Drosophila melanogaster: one gene and its partners. The protein of the gene in region 3 interacts with the protein of the main gene of each other region in a pairwise test. Each region holds a gene or a part of one and is shown on either strand. Other genes may lie near its edges.

Region 1 (5,941 bases), about 12 Mb from region 3:
CGAAAGTGAAACTTAAGAACGGTTTAAACTTATTTAATTAGGATCCATGAAAGGGCAAAATTCTAGGAACACAACGTAATCATTTGCATAAACGTAGAACTGCAATAAATATTATTTGCGCCCAAGGTTGCGATTTTGTATATATTTATTACAAGAATGCCACTCACCTTCATTTCAATCAATATATTTATTTTCTAGAAGATTGAAATCAATAACCATAACTCTTTGGGAAATGTACTGGAAAACCTTGAAATCTATATCTTTACTTATGTTAATTACAAATGACTATTTGAAATAAATAGTCAAGTTATACCATAAGTTCGATAATATAAATGCTTATACTATCCTACTAGAATAATTTAATATTTTGCATATAAGAGTATAATTACATATAATTACCTCCTGAAGCATTAGTGAAGCATCAAACAGAAACAACTCTATGCAATCTTCCTTATTAGCTGCCGCCAACAATTAAAGCCAAGTTAAGCTCGGTAGCTTAGCAATTAGGTCCAGGACAGTAAGTTGTCCAATGGCTAAGATCAGCCGTGGGCTTAAGCAGAAAAATGCATTAAACAATGGCTAATATAGCATGTCTGCTCAATTTCAATTAAACGAATCGAAACAAAACTATTTCAACCAACAAGTTAAACGTTGTTCCGACCATATCGATGCGCAGTGGCTTGAGTGACATGTCCTAATTCGTAAGCGTTGACTTTTACCGGCATTTCAATTAACCCAATTAATGGACGGGACCTAATTAAATTTTGAATTCATGTTGCCAGCAAACGCACACTCATCCAGCTGCCTAGTTGCCCCGCACACAGATACGCCGGCACACACACCCTCGCAGGCGAACACACAGACATCAGTCAGCTGTTTTCTGCTGGCCAGCTGTCGTTCGAGTGCGAAGGAGATGGCGCGAAAGCCTCGCAATTCGGGGGTGGTTGGGGTACTGTTGGGGGTGGCAGAGGATGGTGTTGGATGGTAGCAAGGGGGTGGCTCGCTGTAACAAGTATGTACTAATGTCGGCGTCTGGCTAACTGAGACACGGCTATGAATGAGTGCCCCAAACGGAGCAAGCGGGCCACTGAAACTGTAGCTCGATGACCTTGATTATACAACACAGCAGCAGCGCCACCACCCCCCAAACCAGCTCAAACTCTACCAGACCCACAAGCAGCCCTGTTCGCAGCAGGGCCACTCCTTCAAAATACCCTACGTCAAATAAAAATGGCAAAAAAGTAGTCAGAGGCTACAGACACTCGAAAAAATAATAAGGAAATCTAACTAAATTGTACAGTAACACAATATGTTTATGATGTTAAACTTAAAATATTATAAAACTAGATTGTATCTCTATCACATATTCTATATAATTTAGAAATGTGCACATTTAAGTAAAATAATTTACCACCACAACTCATCTTAAACTTCTTCCTGGCCTACAGATAAGCATTCTTCAAAATTGCTTAAACAAGCTTTTCTTCGAGTGCACCCCAAGAGTCGGTGATGGTAACTGGTAACTGACATTACAACAAATCATCGGCCAGCAAATGTTGGCAACTGGGTGCCAAGTCAACGAACTGCTAACCGCAACACAGACACCGACCGCCACCCACTCGAACACATATATAAATTGCCGTACGGGGGCGTCATTAAAATTGCAACAGGGCCTTGAAGGAGCAACAGAGCAACAGGGGGGGAGGGGGTGGAGATTGGAGCGCTCCCCAAAAGACCAGAAGACGAAATCAAAAGATCAATAATTATTATGATGTTGCAGCACACCCGAAACGAGACGCCTTCAGACCGCAGAGCCAAGTCAAGACGGGCAGGTGAGACAAGGGGGGCGGAAAGGGGCGAAAAGGGGAGCCCCAAAAGCGGAGGGGCTACAGCCGAAAAGTTCGACAAGCGCATTACAACAGTTCGGGGGTAGAAAGACAGACGACGGATGAAGAGTGGGGTAGGGTTGGCCAGGGGGGTGCGCTTGCTTACAAGTGCAACCATTTTGTAGTACAAACTTCGAAAACCAAAAGCGAAATTGGCAAAACAAAAGGCCAGCGAAGGGAGCGAGGATGTGGGCCCACCTCCTGACTGCCTCCATTTGTGGATTGTGGATCCCGCAGCCACAGCTGGAGTCGGTCATGCGCACTCCGTCCAACCGATTGGCCCGCTTCGCCGCCATTTAGAAAAGGCCCACCAAGTGGAAGCGAAAGAGATGGGCTTGCTGCCAGAAAAGGACGGAGCGTGAGAGCGCTGCCCGCAGAGCGAGTGCGACAAAAACACCTGTTCCTGTTTCGAACTCCCCCCCCCCTGCAGGCCGTCAGTCCATCGAGTCGGCTATCCGCTATCGGCTATCCGAGAAGTACACGCAGAACTGGCTCGGAACCGGTTGCAGCTGCACCAGTGCCACACCAGTTCCCTACCCTTGCGGAGCGACGAGCTAGTCGCACTGCTCTCGCAGGCAGAATGTATCTGCGAGATACATTTCGGGGTGAGTGGCTGGCTGGCTCGCTAGCTCGCTGGCTCCCTGGCGTGCGGATAACGTACGGCAAACGGAACGAAGCGCCGACCGGTTTAGTCGTTCAGCAGTCTCCGTGCAGTGAGCATGTTTGTGCGCCAGACATCGTCGTTGGTCGGTTGTCGTCATCGCTACTATATAGCCGTCGTATCGCGAACATCGACCGTCTTAGCTCGATAGCCGTCGGATTTGCCTTTTCGGATGCGAGAGACTCTTAAATCCCTCACCATAGATCCAAATCCCTGCGAACAAAACGCGTGTGCGCACACGGATCACACAGCCGTGATAATCCCGCTAAATTCGCCGAAAACCCAGTGCTCTGTGTCCCGGTCTCATATTGAGTAATTCAAGCAAACTTCACGGAATAAGTAAACCAGTACAAGTGCCTTACACAAATATCCCTGCTCAATGCCGGAAACTTCTTGAGTACGGCCCAAAACGAAAAGGCGCCCGCTCTCAAGATTCCCAGCCCACAAATATCTCGAGTGTGCTTCGCCGAGTGTCCTGTCAGCCAAATATATGGTAATGGCAGAGATTGGTGGCCATTTGGCTCACCAGCTACCGTTGCACAATCACAACCACAATCAAACTGGATTACAGCCATCGCTGGTGATGAACCATCACCTGGATTTGGATTGCCATGGACACGATGTGATAAGTGAGTACCGATATTCAAGGGCTGCTGGCTTTCCGATTTCGGGCTATTTGGGCTGCATCCTTGAAAAGGACGATATTTAATACTGGAGATAGCACGATCACTTACCTAGGGACAGTCTTAAAAAAAGAACAATGGAATGCCCTTCCACAGTTTGGATATGAGGCTATTGTATCTTCTAGATACATTTGTTGGTTCTAAGTACTTTCGGTCTGTTTAAGAAGGCATTACAGTTTTTTTCCTTAGTTCCCTTAGATTTAAAATTTGGATTTAAATAAATGTCCTGACAAATAACTTAGAGGCTAATAGGGGTTTAGTCTAAAAAAGCGCTTTGTTGATCCACTGTAAACCAAGATTAAATTGCATTTTAAATCAACCTATTCAGAAATTGTATACCTGCAATTGAAACATCATTACATAGATCACGCATCAGTGTCGAATCATTTGCCGCTAATAAAGCTATTTAAAGCAGTTAATGACTTATTTATGGCTATTGTCCTAGTCCCCAAACAAAAATTGGCAAATTAAATAGTCATTAAACAAGAGCCACTGATGGGTAACTTTCTCGATTCGTAAATATGGAAAATGAACGAGGAAAGCCCGCTTTGGACATTAAAAGCCAATAAAATAAGTAAAAAGCCGTGTTAACAAATGCTCGCACCCAAATCACAGTTGTAAACTTGTCTTGCTTATTTTTGAAACATTTTAATGCCCACCATTTTAAATTCCAGATATCAGAGATCAAGGCTCGGACTCAAAGGTTCCGAGCTTTAAAACCATGAACTGTTAGTCAAGTTTATTTGTAACGAAGGTCGAAGTTATTTTTATACCAAAATCATTAAAAAGTTCAGGCACGCGTTGAACTCTTTCATACCTTGAGTTTTTAATTTTGCCAATGGATGTGATGTGAGCAAGGCTGCGCTAAAGTAATTACAAACAAATTAAAGTGATACCAAGAAAATACGAATCCATAAATAATTTTTATTGTGCCATTCTTTTGTCAAATTGGAGGATCTTTTTTTTTGTATATTGAACGACTTTCTGAGGTTCTATCTTTAGGTTCGGGATTTCTTTCGGGCCACAGTCGTTAGCCGACTTGTCGCTGCAGCTTTTGTAATGGGCTTAGACCCTATCTCGACCTGTCACTTGTTGTTTCAGTACGGCAATAACTGTTAAATTATAGCCGTATTTTATTTTAAGCACACTTTACATATTATATAGAAGCCAATTAACGGTTGAATGACATTTTAATGCTGAGCAATTAAGCGCGCAAGCAAAGCGGGCAAGCAATTGCATGAAAAAAGCTGAAAAGAGCTGGAAATGTATCACAAATGTATCTCATGCGATAATGTGACAAATTTTTAACTAGCCTAAAGTTTGTTAACCAAAATGCATTTTATGAATTCATAAACCAAGAGTGTCATTAAAAAATGCCATCCGTGTGTGACAGAAAGAGGAATATATTTTATTCAAATTTTATTTCGTATGCTAAATTGTGACAAATGTTTTGGCTGACAGTTGTCTAACCAAACGAACGACCGCAGAACACAAAAAAGCCAAACAAAAATTCCGAAAAAAAAAGGAAAACATGAAAAATCATAATCATAAGCACATATACTACATACAATGGGTTCGGGGAAATTGAATTATATATGAGGCTGGAATAATGCAGCACATGCAGTTGTAGCTGCGAATCATTTAAATTGCATTGAATTTTAGTAATTGTAATTTAAATTCAAATTAGTTGTCGGCCATGGAGCGCTGGTAAATATTTAATGTCCGAACATTTTAATTTGAAAACTTTTCACAAAGTTTCCTCCCCATCGCTCTGCTTAGTTGCTCTGTGAGTTAGTTGGCGGCTGACAAAACTTTAAGTTAGAGTTTTCCAGCTTCAAGTTGATATTTGAAATGAAAACAATTTTTGTAGTTTTCGTTTCGTCCCCCCCCCCTCTAGTATCAGCCAGCTCCACTCTCTTTTGTTAGTTCGCTTGGTTCCGAGGCGAGTTTTGTTTGTTTGTTGATTTTTGAGCGCTGTAAACATTTTAATGAGTTTTCCATGTCACAGACCCAGGCCTCCAGTCAACATGTCGTTGGCAACTTCTCAAGTAGTCGTTAAATTAATTAAATATAGTAAAAACAAAAAGAAATCGCCATCTGAAGTATCTGAAGAGCCTTTGTTTACTCTCCGTGCTCTATAGAAAATTATGTAAGTCCGAGATCGCTGCATACATCAGGGCGTTGAACTAGTTTCGGTTTTTCATGTTGGCGGCTGCCATAAAATTGTACCACTTTATGTTGAAGACCATCAAAAATTGACAATTATTTGCGGCCATAAAAGCCAAGCGATTTTTATTTTTATAGTTAACCAATTAGCCAAAAATTTGAATAAAATGCGAAGCGGGGGTGGCACGGATTTTCCCCTTACTCGTCGTACACATGTTCCCTAATCTAATTCATATTAATTCCATTTAAATTTCTCGCCAGCAAATTCACCGAATGCTAATTGGCATTTTCGATGAATAAACACAAAACCTTTCGAAAGTTAATTGTGAAAAATGGATTGGGCAAATGTTTAGCCAATGCACAAAAAGTTGAAATAATTTTTCGAATAATTTGTAAAGTGTCAATCGTCGGCCATATAAGGTTAAGTCGTCTGCGAACGAAAGAGAATGGAACCGAGTTTTCAGATGAGGCTGGTTATTTAGCCATAGATCACCGATCTCAGATCTCTTGGTTATTTATAGAGCTGCTGAAACGTCAGTGAAAGG
Region 2 (5,928 bases), on a different chromosome or scaffold from region 3:
TCATCGAAACTGCGAACTGATAAATCCGGAATTCATTGAAAATAGTTTAATCAGTTTTAATCAGTTTTATTCCAAGATAGGCTAGCTACAATAACTATAATATGTTGGGTCAACAAGTTCCAGTAACGCACGCAAAGGAAATTAGATTGAAGATGGTTCCTACCGAGCATCTGAAATACTCAATATCACTGCCCTTTTCGCGACAATGATAGTACCCAGAGCAGTCAGCGGGATCACCAAACAATCCAAGCCGCTGGCACTTTCCAGACGAACTGGGCAACTCGTCGTCATCAGATCCTGTGTTCAGGCAAATCTGCAGCTCGTCATCAAAGGTAAAGCCCGTTGGACAGTAGTTAAGATGCCATTTGCCATCGATGCAGAGGCAGAAGACATCGCTTGCCGTGCTGTTAGGACATGGGGATGGAGTATAATCGTCCTGGCACTCAACGCTTCCCACCCGGCAGACCAATCGGTTGGCATCGAAGTAGGTTCCTTCAGGGCATTTCCAGATCTGAAGGTGCTTATCTTTGCACACGCAAAACTCGTCCATTTCTGTGGCCATCGGACATTTGCCGATTTGGTGATTGGTACAGCTGGTAGTGTCTGTAGATACGCAGGCTTGGATAGTTTCGTTAAAGTAGTAATCATCTGGACAGGATTCAGCAGCTGCATCCAATCTGAGCTCCAGATAACTGCCGTTCCCCAACCCTTTTCCCGTTTGAAACAACAGAAAAGTTAGGAGGCAGATAATCAGGCGAGATGAATCCATGTTGCAAACTTTCTAAGTAGACCTCTTCACACTCCGCCTTATATAGTACCTCACAACCAAACGCAGAATGTTTCGGTATAATTAATAGATAAACTGCAATGTTGTCACGAAAAAAACATTCTATGGAACATTTATGACCTAGTCACAGCACTCTTAGCAAGAAAGAACCAAGACAGTACTAGTCCATTTCTATTGCACTTTTATTGGAAAAAAACAAAGAACTCATTCTGGTTTAATTACCCACGGACATGGTGGTTGAATCTTTATTATCAAACTGATACCTTTTGAAATGGGAATTCATAAATTCATGTCAAATAGATTGTTATTCCAGGGTAAACATGAGTTGTTTATTAAATGTAATCCATTGAAGAGGAATAAATAAAGTGCAGGAATGCATCTTCCTCAGCAGCTTCCCAGGACGCAGGAGGATAGCTCCGGTCGGTAGTAAGTCCCATTGGGGCAGTCCATGTGCCGCAGGGTGCCATTTAGAGCCGAGCAGTAGTAGTACTTCCGGCAGTCGTTTCCATCGGCCATCAAGCCCACGTGCTGACAGGTGTTGGGCAGCACCGAAAAGTCGTCGTCGTTGGGATCCTCGATGATCACCGAAGGATCATCGGTGCTGGGCGGCAGGACATTCGATCCGCTGCGGCAGACGTAGTCCACGAAGGTCTCGCCATCGTTGCACCTGTGCAGCGAGGGGTAGATGACGATGGTGTCGTTCAGGTTCTGGTTAACCGTCGACTTGCACACGTAGAAGATATTGGGATTGGTGGGCCAGGCGGCCACGTGTCCGGCATTGGGGCAGTAGTACTGTCGCTGCAGGCAGACGGAGTCAGTCAGGGTCAAAGTGCACTGGCCAGTCGTCGCATCGAAGGCCTTGTCGTTGCCGCAATCAACGGCAGCAGCCACCAGAGTGGCCCCCACGAAGTAGCACATGTGGTACTTCTGGCAGTCGTACGGATCTGGAAAGATGCCTTGCGAGGTGCACTGAAAGTTGCCCTCGATGCCGAACGGATGACACGGGCCCGTCTCGTTGGTGCAGCTCCCCAGCCGGGCGTTGCAGTAGTATCCATTAGCCACGTCGCACGATTCCACGGGAATGTTCACCCATCCGTTGGAGTGACGCACGCAGGTGGCCAGCAGCTCGCAGGACTCGCAGATGGGCCCGGGACTCTGACGGCCCTCGCAGGAGTTTGTCTCCCGCGGCTGGATGCGCCGGGTGGTAACAGTGGCTCCCATAAGCAGAGCCACCAGGTTGAGCAGTAACTGTTGGGCGGTGGGGACATAAAAATCAAATGCCATTCACTTAAGTTTATCCTATTCTGAAAAACTACCTACCACGCTCACTAGTATTCTTTCCAAGAACATGACGATGTATTTCCCCTTTTGGACTTTGTTTCTGGTTAGTTTAGGTCCAACTTCCACGAGAATCTTCGATTGTCTGATTCAGACTCATATGGTGACAGCAATAAAAGTCCCGAAATAGCAGACTTTAGATAGCGTTTTATATCTTTTGGGTGTCTGTTTGTCTATCTATCAACTTTGAAAAGGCGATGGGAGTTGGGCAAAGTGGCAAACGCAGCGGCGTTTCTAATTACAACAACTACGCGGATCGGAATGCCGCAATGATGGGTGAGTGAACGACATTTACTAAAAATTGGTCCAACTAGCTGGAGTGTCAAGTGGAGTGGGTGTTTAATGTGTAAACAAGTCGGGATTTTGTTTGGCCGACTTATTCAGAGCACTTTAAAGTGCTCTCGAGTAAATATTTAAATACCATTTCTTTCAATAAAACTGACCGCTAGCTTTTGTAAATATGCACTTTTAGTAAAGGAATTTAATGCCTAATCTTCGGTTCATACCTAATCTTCAATCATAAAAAATCGCTGAGAGAAATAACGGGAATGGGTTGGGTCACCGCTAAGCGCTTAGCCACGTCCTCCACCGCTCTGCTGAAGCGGAACCCTGCTGCGCGACCAGTGTGAACGAACTTCTTTGAACGATAGTCAGTTCGGAAGCACGCACTCATGTCGATAGTGTCACCTCGAACGCCCTAACAAATAAAAAAAAGGAGGAGGAGCAAAAGGACAAAGGATGAGCAAGATTCCAGGCAGCAATCTGGAGTTCGTCCGCGAGGAGGACTTCGTGGAGTACTACATCTTTCCCAAGATCCCCGACAACGTACAGGATGAGGGCGCGCTGCGCAAACTGATGCTTCAGATCCGCAACGAGATCTCGGCCATTGTAAGGGAAAAGTCCTTAGAGCGCAGCTATCTGTGGCACAAGGACGAGTTTCAGCTTCAGGTGAGGCTGGGCGGCGCCGAGGAGCGCCTGCTGAACGAGGAGACAAACCCGGAGGAGGAGGCGGAACTGGGTATGCGCACAATGTGCTATAAATAGCTTTGTTTCTGCAATTCGAAATCATCCATTTCCATGTCCCCGCCCAGGCGACCTCCCACCGCACTTCCACGGCGTAACCCACTATGGCGACAACATCAGCGACGAGTGGTTCGTTGTCTATCTGCTCACGGAGATCACACGTGCACGCGGCGACTGCATTGCACGGGTGAGCGATTCGGATGGCGAGTTCCTGCTCATCGAGGCGGCGGACGCCCTGCCCGACTGGGCGTCTCCGGAAACGTGCGAGCAGCGCGTTTATCTGGTCGGTGGTCACCTGCAGCTTCTCCAGAACTCCGCCGCCAGCAGCCAGGACAAGCCACTGACCATGGCCATGGCTGTGCAACGTATACGAATGAATCCCACCCTGTACCGCTGCTCGCAGGAGATACAGTCGTGCATTGACGCGCGGCTTAAGGAGTACCAGATCGCTCAGCCGCACTTCTCCATTCATCGCCAGGTGCTGGAGCTCCCGCATAGCGCTGCACAGCTTCTGAAACAGAAGCCAAGGCTGCTCTCCTCGGCGGTTAGGGCTTTCTGCGAGCGGGACTCGCTGGACATCAAGGCACTTCGCACCATGCGATATTTCCCACCGGAGGCCACACGCGTGCGCACCAACGTGCGTTTCACCCGCTGTCTGTACGCCATGTTGTCGCACCAGCAGTATCTGCCCGAGAAGAGACTCGGCTGGCATCTCACGGATCCTGTATCCGAGCCGGAACGATATAAGGAACAACTATTGGGCTTGAAGCTGGCCAGTGGACTGGAGATCCTGGCCACTCAAGCCAAGCGGGTTGAGGGCCAACAGCTGGAGGACCTTCCTGCCTGGCGATCGTATCTGCGGAGCTTGCTGAGCAAGGGCTACTTCCGGGACAACATCGAGGGCAGTGCCGAGTACCAGGAGCTGCTGAACAAGGCCAAGGTGTACTTTCGTGGCAACCAGGAGCGTTTCCGCACAGCCTCCAGAGCGGGTGCCGAGATCCTCGACCTGTTGCTCCATCCAGCGGAGGCTGCTTCCGAGGAGCTGCGCGATGAGGAGAACAACCTGCAGCCCAGCGACTCGGATGAGTGGTTGAATATCAGCGCTGAGGATCTAGACTCCATGCTGCAGGATCGCTACGGACCCAAGAAGCTCTACAAGCCGAACGGACAAATGAATGCCGAGGAGTTCACCAAGCAGCTGGCGGAGTTCTTAGATCGGCAGTCCAACTACGAGGGCATTGAGCACCGAGGGCTCGAGGAGCCAGAACTGGACTCAGACGATGACGAGCCGCCGCCGCAGGCAAACGGTTCCACAGGACTGACAGCAAAGGTCAAGAAGAATCCCTCCATGCGCAAGGCGTGCCAGCGCAATTCCGTCATCCAGCCGGAGGAACCGGACAGCACCCATGTGCGGAATTTCCTGGATTTCGTAATACCCGAGGACAACTGGGACTCCACCTCGGAGATGAGCGACTACGCGGACGAGGACGACATGGAGAGTAATCTAAATGCACTTTCTGGAGGCGGCAGTGTGTTCCCACTCGATCGACAGATTCAATCGTATATGGAGCAGATGGACCGCGAGTTGGCTCAGACCAGCGTGGGCAAGTCCTTCCACGGCAAGAAGAAGACAGCTCCACAGGCGGACGAGGACGATTTCGATGACATTGAGGACTTTGAGCCCATCAATATAAACGTAAACACGCTGCGCAACATGATGGATAGCTACCAATCGCAGGTTGGCGGCGCAGGTCCTGTATCCAATCTGTTTAGCGCCATGGGCGTGGGCATGTCGGCTGTCGAGGACAAGGAACAAAAGGATATATCTGAGTCGGCCGTTTAAGCGGGATTACAGGAATTAGTATAGTCTTAAGTCCATTAAATAAACGTCAATGTGAATATTTCAATGTAATGCAGAGTATTCTTATTTGATATATTCGATAACTAATCCTTGGATGCAGGCACAAAGTTTCCATAGTCGCGTCTGACCTTCATGGGTGGTTCGTTATTGGGAGTATCATTTCTCTGGTTATGATCATGGGAGCGCTTGTAGCCTCCAGATCCTCCGGACCCTCCGCCTCCTTCGTACCGATTCCGGCGATCGATGTGATCGTATCTGTTGTTGCGCCGGTTGTCTGTGGGAACAAATGCGTTGGTAAGCTATAAATAGAAACTGAGCTTCTTCCCGGGTATTACCCCTGAATCCCCTGTCCTGGTTGTTGTGGTAGCCAGCTCCTCCTCGTCGCTGCCAGCCCCTGTCGCCGCCTCCTCTGCGATGTCCGTTGTAGCGATTGTGGTAGGGATGACCACCGCCTCCTCCGCCCTGGAAGCCGCCTCCTCCTCCGCCACCTCCCATCCAGTTCTCCACAATTGGCGGCTCCGGCACAGGCTTGCTGCAGTGCGCCATGAACTCTGGGTCGTCGTCAGTGAAGCGGTCTGCGAACTCAAGCTCGCAGGACTCCAGGAAGTTCAGGTCCCTTTCGACCAGACGGTTTATCTTTCGGTTGGGATCCACCATTGTTTCGGTATTTATACAAATAAACTCCCTTCGACTGAATTTTTCAACACAGCTCAGCTGCGACAGCTGTTTATGTGTTCAGCTGCAATTCTGAAGTAACAGTGATTTGGTCAAGTCACGCTATCGAAATAAATACACCTCACATAAGCACACACATATATCGGAATCAATTCAGGTTAAGAGAGTTATTAAATTATAATATATTAATGGTGACTACAAATTAATTTTATTAATTCCTTGCACCGCCTTACAAACTTGAAAT
Region 3 (6,305 bases):
TTTGCTGCGCACTTTGGCCGTGCTGCAGGCACAAAGGATTCGGGTGCATCAGCAGATTGAGGAATTGGAAGCCACACAAAATATCTACTTGGAGAATCCGCAACATATGCTGGACAAACTGCGAAACAACGAGCCTTTGATAGCGGATAATTACATCACCACGACCGTTCTACCGGACTTGCCAACTCTGTCGCCCAATGACGAGGAAGGGGGCACAAATGAGACACCGACCGATGCGTCTTCATGGACGCAAGAGGCGAACAAGAATCGGGACAGGAGCAATGGACGGTCGGAGAATTTCAATCGCTTGTGGACCAACGAAGAGCAGAGTCGCTTGGAGCAGCTGCTCATCCAGTATCCGCCAGAGGAAGTGGAAATGCGCAGATTCGGGAAGATAGCGAAGGCCTTGGGCAACAGAACGGCACAGCAAGTGTATAGTCGTGTCCAGAAGTATTTCCAAAAGCTGCACGATGCCGGAATGCCTGTGCCCGGTCGCATACCCAAGCATCGACGTCCTGGTTTGAGTAAGCCGAAGATCAAACTTCGCAAGTCAACCTTCTTCCCCGCTCATAATATATCGCTACAAATGCCAGAGGACGATTTCACATTTGACGACCTGCGAATCCCATCGCCTGCGAGCGATATGCTCCTTATGCCGGCATCCAAGATCGAACCAAAGATCGAATCCGAGTACATGGATGCCGATCTGAATGCGGAGTCAAAGCGAAAACAGGAACTATGCCTTAAGCTTCTATCAGCCATTCAGGACGAGAAACGGGAAATGGAGGACGGATATGAGCCAGACTTGCTGGCCGCCAAGTGTGCCGAGTGCGAAGAGGCATCTGTGACCAGGACCCAATGGCGTTGTAACAGTTGTTATTGTTACCTTAATCTGTGCGGAGATTGCCTGGCCAGTCAGCTAATCGAAGGGCGTTTCGAGCATTTAAGTCATGAAGTTGTAGTGGACCAAGAGTCATGACGCTCCTAGAGTCCCATTTACTTGAGTACTAAATTACTAGACTTGCCTGTAAAGCTACAAATTAAATATAAAGAGAATAATTTTAAAAAATTCTATTTTATTTATAAAAACTTAATATTAAATGGTATAAAAGAGAGGCCCTCTTAATTGCGCAATTGGGCAGATGATTTCGGCAGAGATTGAATACGCTGGCGACGCTTTGCTTCGAACTCCGTAGCCAGCTGCCATGTTTCTTTGTCCAACGTATCCTTCCCCCGGGCGATGCCCAGCAGCCGTGAGAGGACCAGCAATCCATGCAGATCATCGGCATTACTTTTGACATTAGCTTTACGCATGTCCACGAAATCCTGCTGGATCATTTCAGTGTGCTCCTCGCTCACGTTGAAGCCGCTAGTGCGCGCTGTGGTCAAGTACTTGCGAAACTGCTGCAGACGTGATGGCTGCAGATAGTGGTGGGCTGCCTTTAGAGATTCATCAACAAGTTCCACGGCCTTAGAATCGGCATTAATGGGCAGCACAAAATCGCTCTGAAAACATATCATTAATAGTTTCTATTGGATATAATGATTATTTATATAAACTTATATTCTTACCGGCAACATACTTCGCCCTTCACTGAGCACGAGAACTGGAATATTTGCTTGGTAGTCTATTTGGTAATACTGAAAGTCGCACTTCAGTTCCTGATTATTGATCAAGTGCGCTAAATGCTGAACGGCATGAACACCATTGGCCTCCAGCTTGCCCTGTTGCATGCACGTCTCGTCGAGCACCAAATGCGTATGGGGAGCCAACTGTAGTACGCCGGAAACCAGCTTGTTTGTCTCATAATCCTTCCTGCAAGTACTCATTAATAGGTATTCAATTTTATACTATTTCTGCTTAGCCAACTTACTTTGGGGCAAAGGCTGCCGTGTTTAGTGTGACGAGAGTCATGGGCATGTAATGGCTGGCCGGCAGTAGCAGCTCCAGAATTTGATACAACTTGGTTGCATACGCCTCACAATTCTTAGGGAGATTACAAAGGTTAAGGGCGAACTTGCCGATGCTCTGCATCTCAGAACGACTGTAGACCGTAGATATTAGGTGGGAGAGCAAATACTCGGCAGCCAGATCGTCATCAAAGAGGCAGAGTTTAAGAAGCATGCGCAGATCTTTGTGCACAGCAAGGTGGGTTGGATACGTCTCCTCACATATTTCCGTTGGCTGTCGAAGGCTTTTGTCCAGCAGCGGATTGGCATGCGGCAGCACCTGGACTCCGAAGGCATGCAGGCGGGGTATAAGAAATGGCGATGGATGAGCTGCCTGCAGTTCACTCAAGTTTTCACAATCGTCTATTTCCAGGGTAGCGGCGTCTAGTGAAGCATCCACTGACAGAAAGCCCACAAAGTCGACCAGCGAGTTAAGCTGGTAGGTATCGAACTCCTCGTAAACCTTTACCATGCATGCCATGCTGGGACGATCCGGCAGAGGCGAGTTAATCAGGTAATCAGACCCAAGAACAGAGGATTTGGAGGCGCCGACTGGCTCGCTATCTTTTTGAATCTCTTTTAGGCAGGGTCGCTTGAACGTTGTTTCGCTCGCAACGTCCACATCCATGGCTTCTTCTTCGCCTACAATAGTCCGCTTCTTGGCTGAACTGGGAGATTGACCCAGACTGGCCAAATCGATCTGGGGACAGCACAGCTTCTCATGCTCCTTGCTCCAATCGTTCAGACCAGGCACAGAGACCACGAACATGGTACGCCTCTCTCCATGCACGTTTCCATCGGCGTTGTAGTCAATCACTTCGCCATTGGCTATTTTCAAGCAGTCCCTGTACTTTCCTTCCTGTACACGTTTGCTGCCGTCGGCGGATTTCACTTCGTAGCGCTCCAGATAGATTTCTGGGTCCATCATGTCCTGGATCATTCCACGAAAGCGCACCAGAGTCTGATCCTTCAGCTTGTGAAGAGGCGTGTAGTTGAGCAGGGGAATCGAGTGCCAACGACTGGGATCCTTGAGCAAGTCCTTGAGTGCAGCGCTGTCCGCTTGCTGGGCGGCCAGTTCATCGGGCGTGCTGGGCAGCTCCATCGCACAGGGCATTATCTAGTTAACGAATGAATTTGCAAATGCCTCAAAAACCTCGAATGCAAAAAACAACAGCTGCTTTGGCGCGCCAAAAACTGATTGCAGCATATTAGTGATGGTCATCGATGGGCCTATCGATATCTGCCAGGGATGTCGAACTCTGCCGCAGAACGGATGTAGAGGCGGATGTGGACATCCGCAAAAAATGTACAATTTGAGAATTACCAAAGAATTGCAGCGATGAGCAAGAAGAAAAGCAATGTGTGGCAGTACTTCTACAAGACATCCGGCACAGTGGCCACCTGTCTGCTGTGCAACAGGAACTACTCGAGGCGAGGACGCGGCACAACATGTCTGCGGAATCATCTGAAGAGCAAGCACCCACCGGAGTTCCTATCTCTATCCGGGGACATAAAGTACCTGGACCTGGTTAAGAGCGAGATCTCCATCGGTTCGCCACAGCACCCCACAGCCCAGCTAGAATTGAATCTGCACGTAAGTGGGATAGCATATAGATGTGCATACATACCTATGTACATGCATATGTACTGTGCAAGAAGTGTACCTTATGTGAAATCGGGGTACATGCCCTTCTAGATATTCTGTCATGTGGAGATGGTTTCCCCAAACTTAAGTTTCCATTCAAATATAGTTTCTTTGGTAGTTCATAAAGTAATTTATGCCTTCTCTTATTTAAAACTTTTTACTAATATAGCAACAGCGGATGCGGATTTTTATCCGCGTTTGGCTAGATCGGCAAACATGTGTTGTGTTTATAAAGTGTAGTTAAGGAGGTTTTAAAAATGTACTGTTATGGTCTTAGTATTATATTTTTATAAATTATGCGTTTTTCACTAATCTGATGCATTAAATTATTCTATTAATCATTTTAGGAAACAGATTCAGATCCATTGGACACCGAGGATATATCCTACAGCAAACGCTGTGATGAGAAGTTGGCCCTCATGCTACTAAATCACTCCTTTGAGTTCATTGAAGGACCAGGATTCGTAAATTTCATTAGGACGCTGCAGCCGCGGTACACGATTCAACCAAGGAGCTACTATGAGAAGATACTGTGCGAGGATATACAAAGGAAAATGCATCAGCATTTGAAGCAACAGGTGGATCTGCTGGATGCCATATCGTTGTCTACGAGTCTCTGGCGTGGTGACAAAGGCGAAGGACTGCTGAGCTTGTCCTGCTCCGGAATATCAAGGGATTTTCAGACTCACCGCCTAATGCTGAAATGCGAGGCTCTGAATTACGAAAGCACTTCGAAGCTAGCTTGTTGCATTCGAGATCTTGTGCCCAGCTTGGCCATTGAGGTGCCCAAAGAGAAGATACACTGCGTAATCAGGGACGAGATGACGGCGCTGCCAGGTTCCCTGCCCGATTGCAGTGTGCACCGCCTGCAGATGTGCGTTCGATTTGCTTTGCAATCGAACGAATTACTGCAGAACCTTTCATCCAAGTGCAAGCAAATAGTTGACCATTTTGCGTCGTCTAAGATGGCCAACGATCATCTGAAATTCATTCAAGAGATCCGCTTGACGCGAGACCCGTGCACACTTACACCTTACGATCCCTGTCAATGGAATTCCGCTTTTCAGATGATGAGCAGCGTGTTTCGAATGAAAGATGCTCTATCCTTGTACTGCGAAGAGTATAGTCTGGTCCAAATATATCCAGATGAATGGATAGAGATCGATTTGTGCAGCAAAGTAATGCAGCCTTGTGAAGAAACAATCAAGATATGGAGCAATCCATCTACGACCACCTCATCCGTAATCCCGCTGGTTGCCGCTTTACGGGATTCCCTCCGAACAGATGTCCATAACTTTGTCTCATCTGTGGTAAGTTGCAGTAGATAAAACCATAAAGTATTGTCTAATATTTCGAATGTCTAGACTATATGCAGTTTCGCCAGAAAGTTGCTTGAAGAACTGGAAATGAAGTTCGCCCACATCACTAGCGACATCAACTTTTTGATGGCCACATATTTGGATCCGAGATATAAGCAAGCATTTTTCACCGAACGTGAGGAGCAGTTGGTGGCCAATGAAGTTCTGCTTCAGCTCGCTGGAGTGCCAGAGGATTGCAATGGTCAGCCACCGCTGAAAATAATCAAAGTGTCATCCACATCGTCCCAGAAGAATGAATCAAAGATCGATAGCATTCTGGATAGCATACTGACAACTGGAACGACGAACACTCAACAGCCAAATACGTCAATGGGCTCCCAGTCTCAGATTAAGAATCTGCTATATCTATACAACTCCGAACCCAGAATCGATAGGAACATGGATCCCCTGATTTGGTGGAGGAGCAACATAAAATACATATCCTTGTATGGCATTGTTAGGAAATTCTTATCAGCACCAGCAGCAAGTGTGGTTAGTGAAGGCTTATTTAGAAAATCAACGCACTTGTATTTCGACATGCAGGCGGGCTTGAGCCCCGAAAGTGCATCCAAAATGTTGCTCATGAAGGCCAACTTTAGCTTTAGCAATTCGGAAATCAATTAGGATACAGTAATTTATATAATTTAAACGTATTTATGTACATAATATTAGCTTTAATCTTACAACTACTTGATTTTCCGGAAAATTAGATTTTGCACTTAAGCCGCGTGTATGGCTGATTGCCTGATGGGTCCTAGCCCCTGTAATCAGGATCATTGTGTTCCTCTTCGTCTTCCTCCTCCTCCTCTTCTTCATCTAAATTAAAAACATGTTTTTCATAATGTTGATTCTAAATAAAATGAAAGCTATGAAATTCTTACCATGATCTCGACGTTTACGTGTGTAGGCTCGTTTGCTGGCGACGGGCGCTTGATCAGTTTCGCCATGTAGCAAGGAATTGCGATATAATATCAGCGGCTGCCATTCCTCAGCTCGGCTGGATGGCATTGCGGGTGGTATTATCTTGTCCAGAAAGCTCATTATGACCTTCTTGTCTTGCTTCAGTAGCTTGTAGTTGAACTCGTTCAAAACCTCCAGGAAGAGCAAGCGAGTTGGAGCCCGCACCGGATCATCTGGCTCCTTGTTCGCAGCGAAATAAATGCCACCACGATGAATGGCGGCCACAGATTCGCGATTCTTGATGGCATCGAAACCAAATGTGAGCGCAAATCGCTTGGCCAACTCCTTGAGGTCCACAAACTCTTGCGAACTCTTTGAAACTATGCCATCCTCACTCTGCTCCTGCAGACTCTTAAAGACTGTGATCAGGCTCAAAAGGAGCGTCATAGCGA

The links. The genes of interacting proteins can lie anywhere in the genome.
Region 1: the proteins of CG13775 (region 3) and tup interact in a two-hybrid assay, tested with the Drosophila melanogaster proteins (one large-scale study listed by BioGRID).
Region 2: the proteins of CG13775 (region 3) and ecd interact in a two-hybrid assay, tested with the Drosophila melanogaster proteins (one large-scale study listed by BioGRID).

The regions. Positions count from the first base shown.
Region 1 is NT_033779.5:18,877,892-18,883,832, reverse strand, and holds the start of tup (tailup), read left to right. Parts: upstream 1-2,571; 5' UTR 2,572-3,037; coding exon 3,038-3,176; intron 3,177-5,941.
Region 2 is NT_037436.4:2,262,711-2,268,638, reverse strand, and holds ecd (ecdysoneless), read left to right. Parts: upstream 1-2,781; 5' UTR 2,782-2,863; coding exon 2,864-3,143; intron 3,144-3,216; coding exon 3,217-4,991; 3' UTR 4,992-5,058; downstream 5,059-5,928. Other genes in the region: obst-I (obstructor-I), read right to left, coding at 110-769; CG13806 (uncharacterized protein), read right to left, coding at 1,172-2,035, 2,108-2,137; CG13807 (uncharacterized protein), read right to left, coding at 5,093-5,283, 5,345-5,666. UniProt on the Drosophila melanogaster protein: Required in both the follicle cells and the germline for oocyte development.
Region 3 is NT_033779.5:6,953,857-6,960,161, reverse strand, and holds CG13775 (uncharacterized protein), read left to right. Parts: upstream 1-3,211; 5' UTR 3,212-3,289; coding exon 3,290-3,544; intron 3,545-3,818; exon of another isoform or gene 3,819-3,854; intron 3,855-3,942; coding exon 3,943-4,905; intron 4,906-4,959; coding exon 4,960-5,577; 3' UTR 5,578-5,707; coding exon of another isoform or gene 5,708-5,769; 3' UTR 5,770-5,805; downstream 5,806-6,305. Other genes in the region: Atac1 (Ada2a-containing complex component 1), read left to right, coding at 1-979; CG3430 (uncharacterized protein), read right to left, coding at 1,123-1,506, 1,573-1,816, 1,875-3,064; SA1 (stromalin 1), read right to left, coding at 5,708-5,769, 5,835-6,305.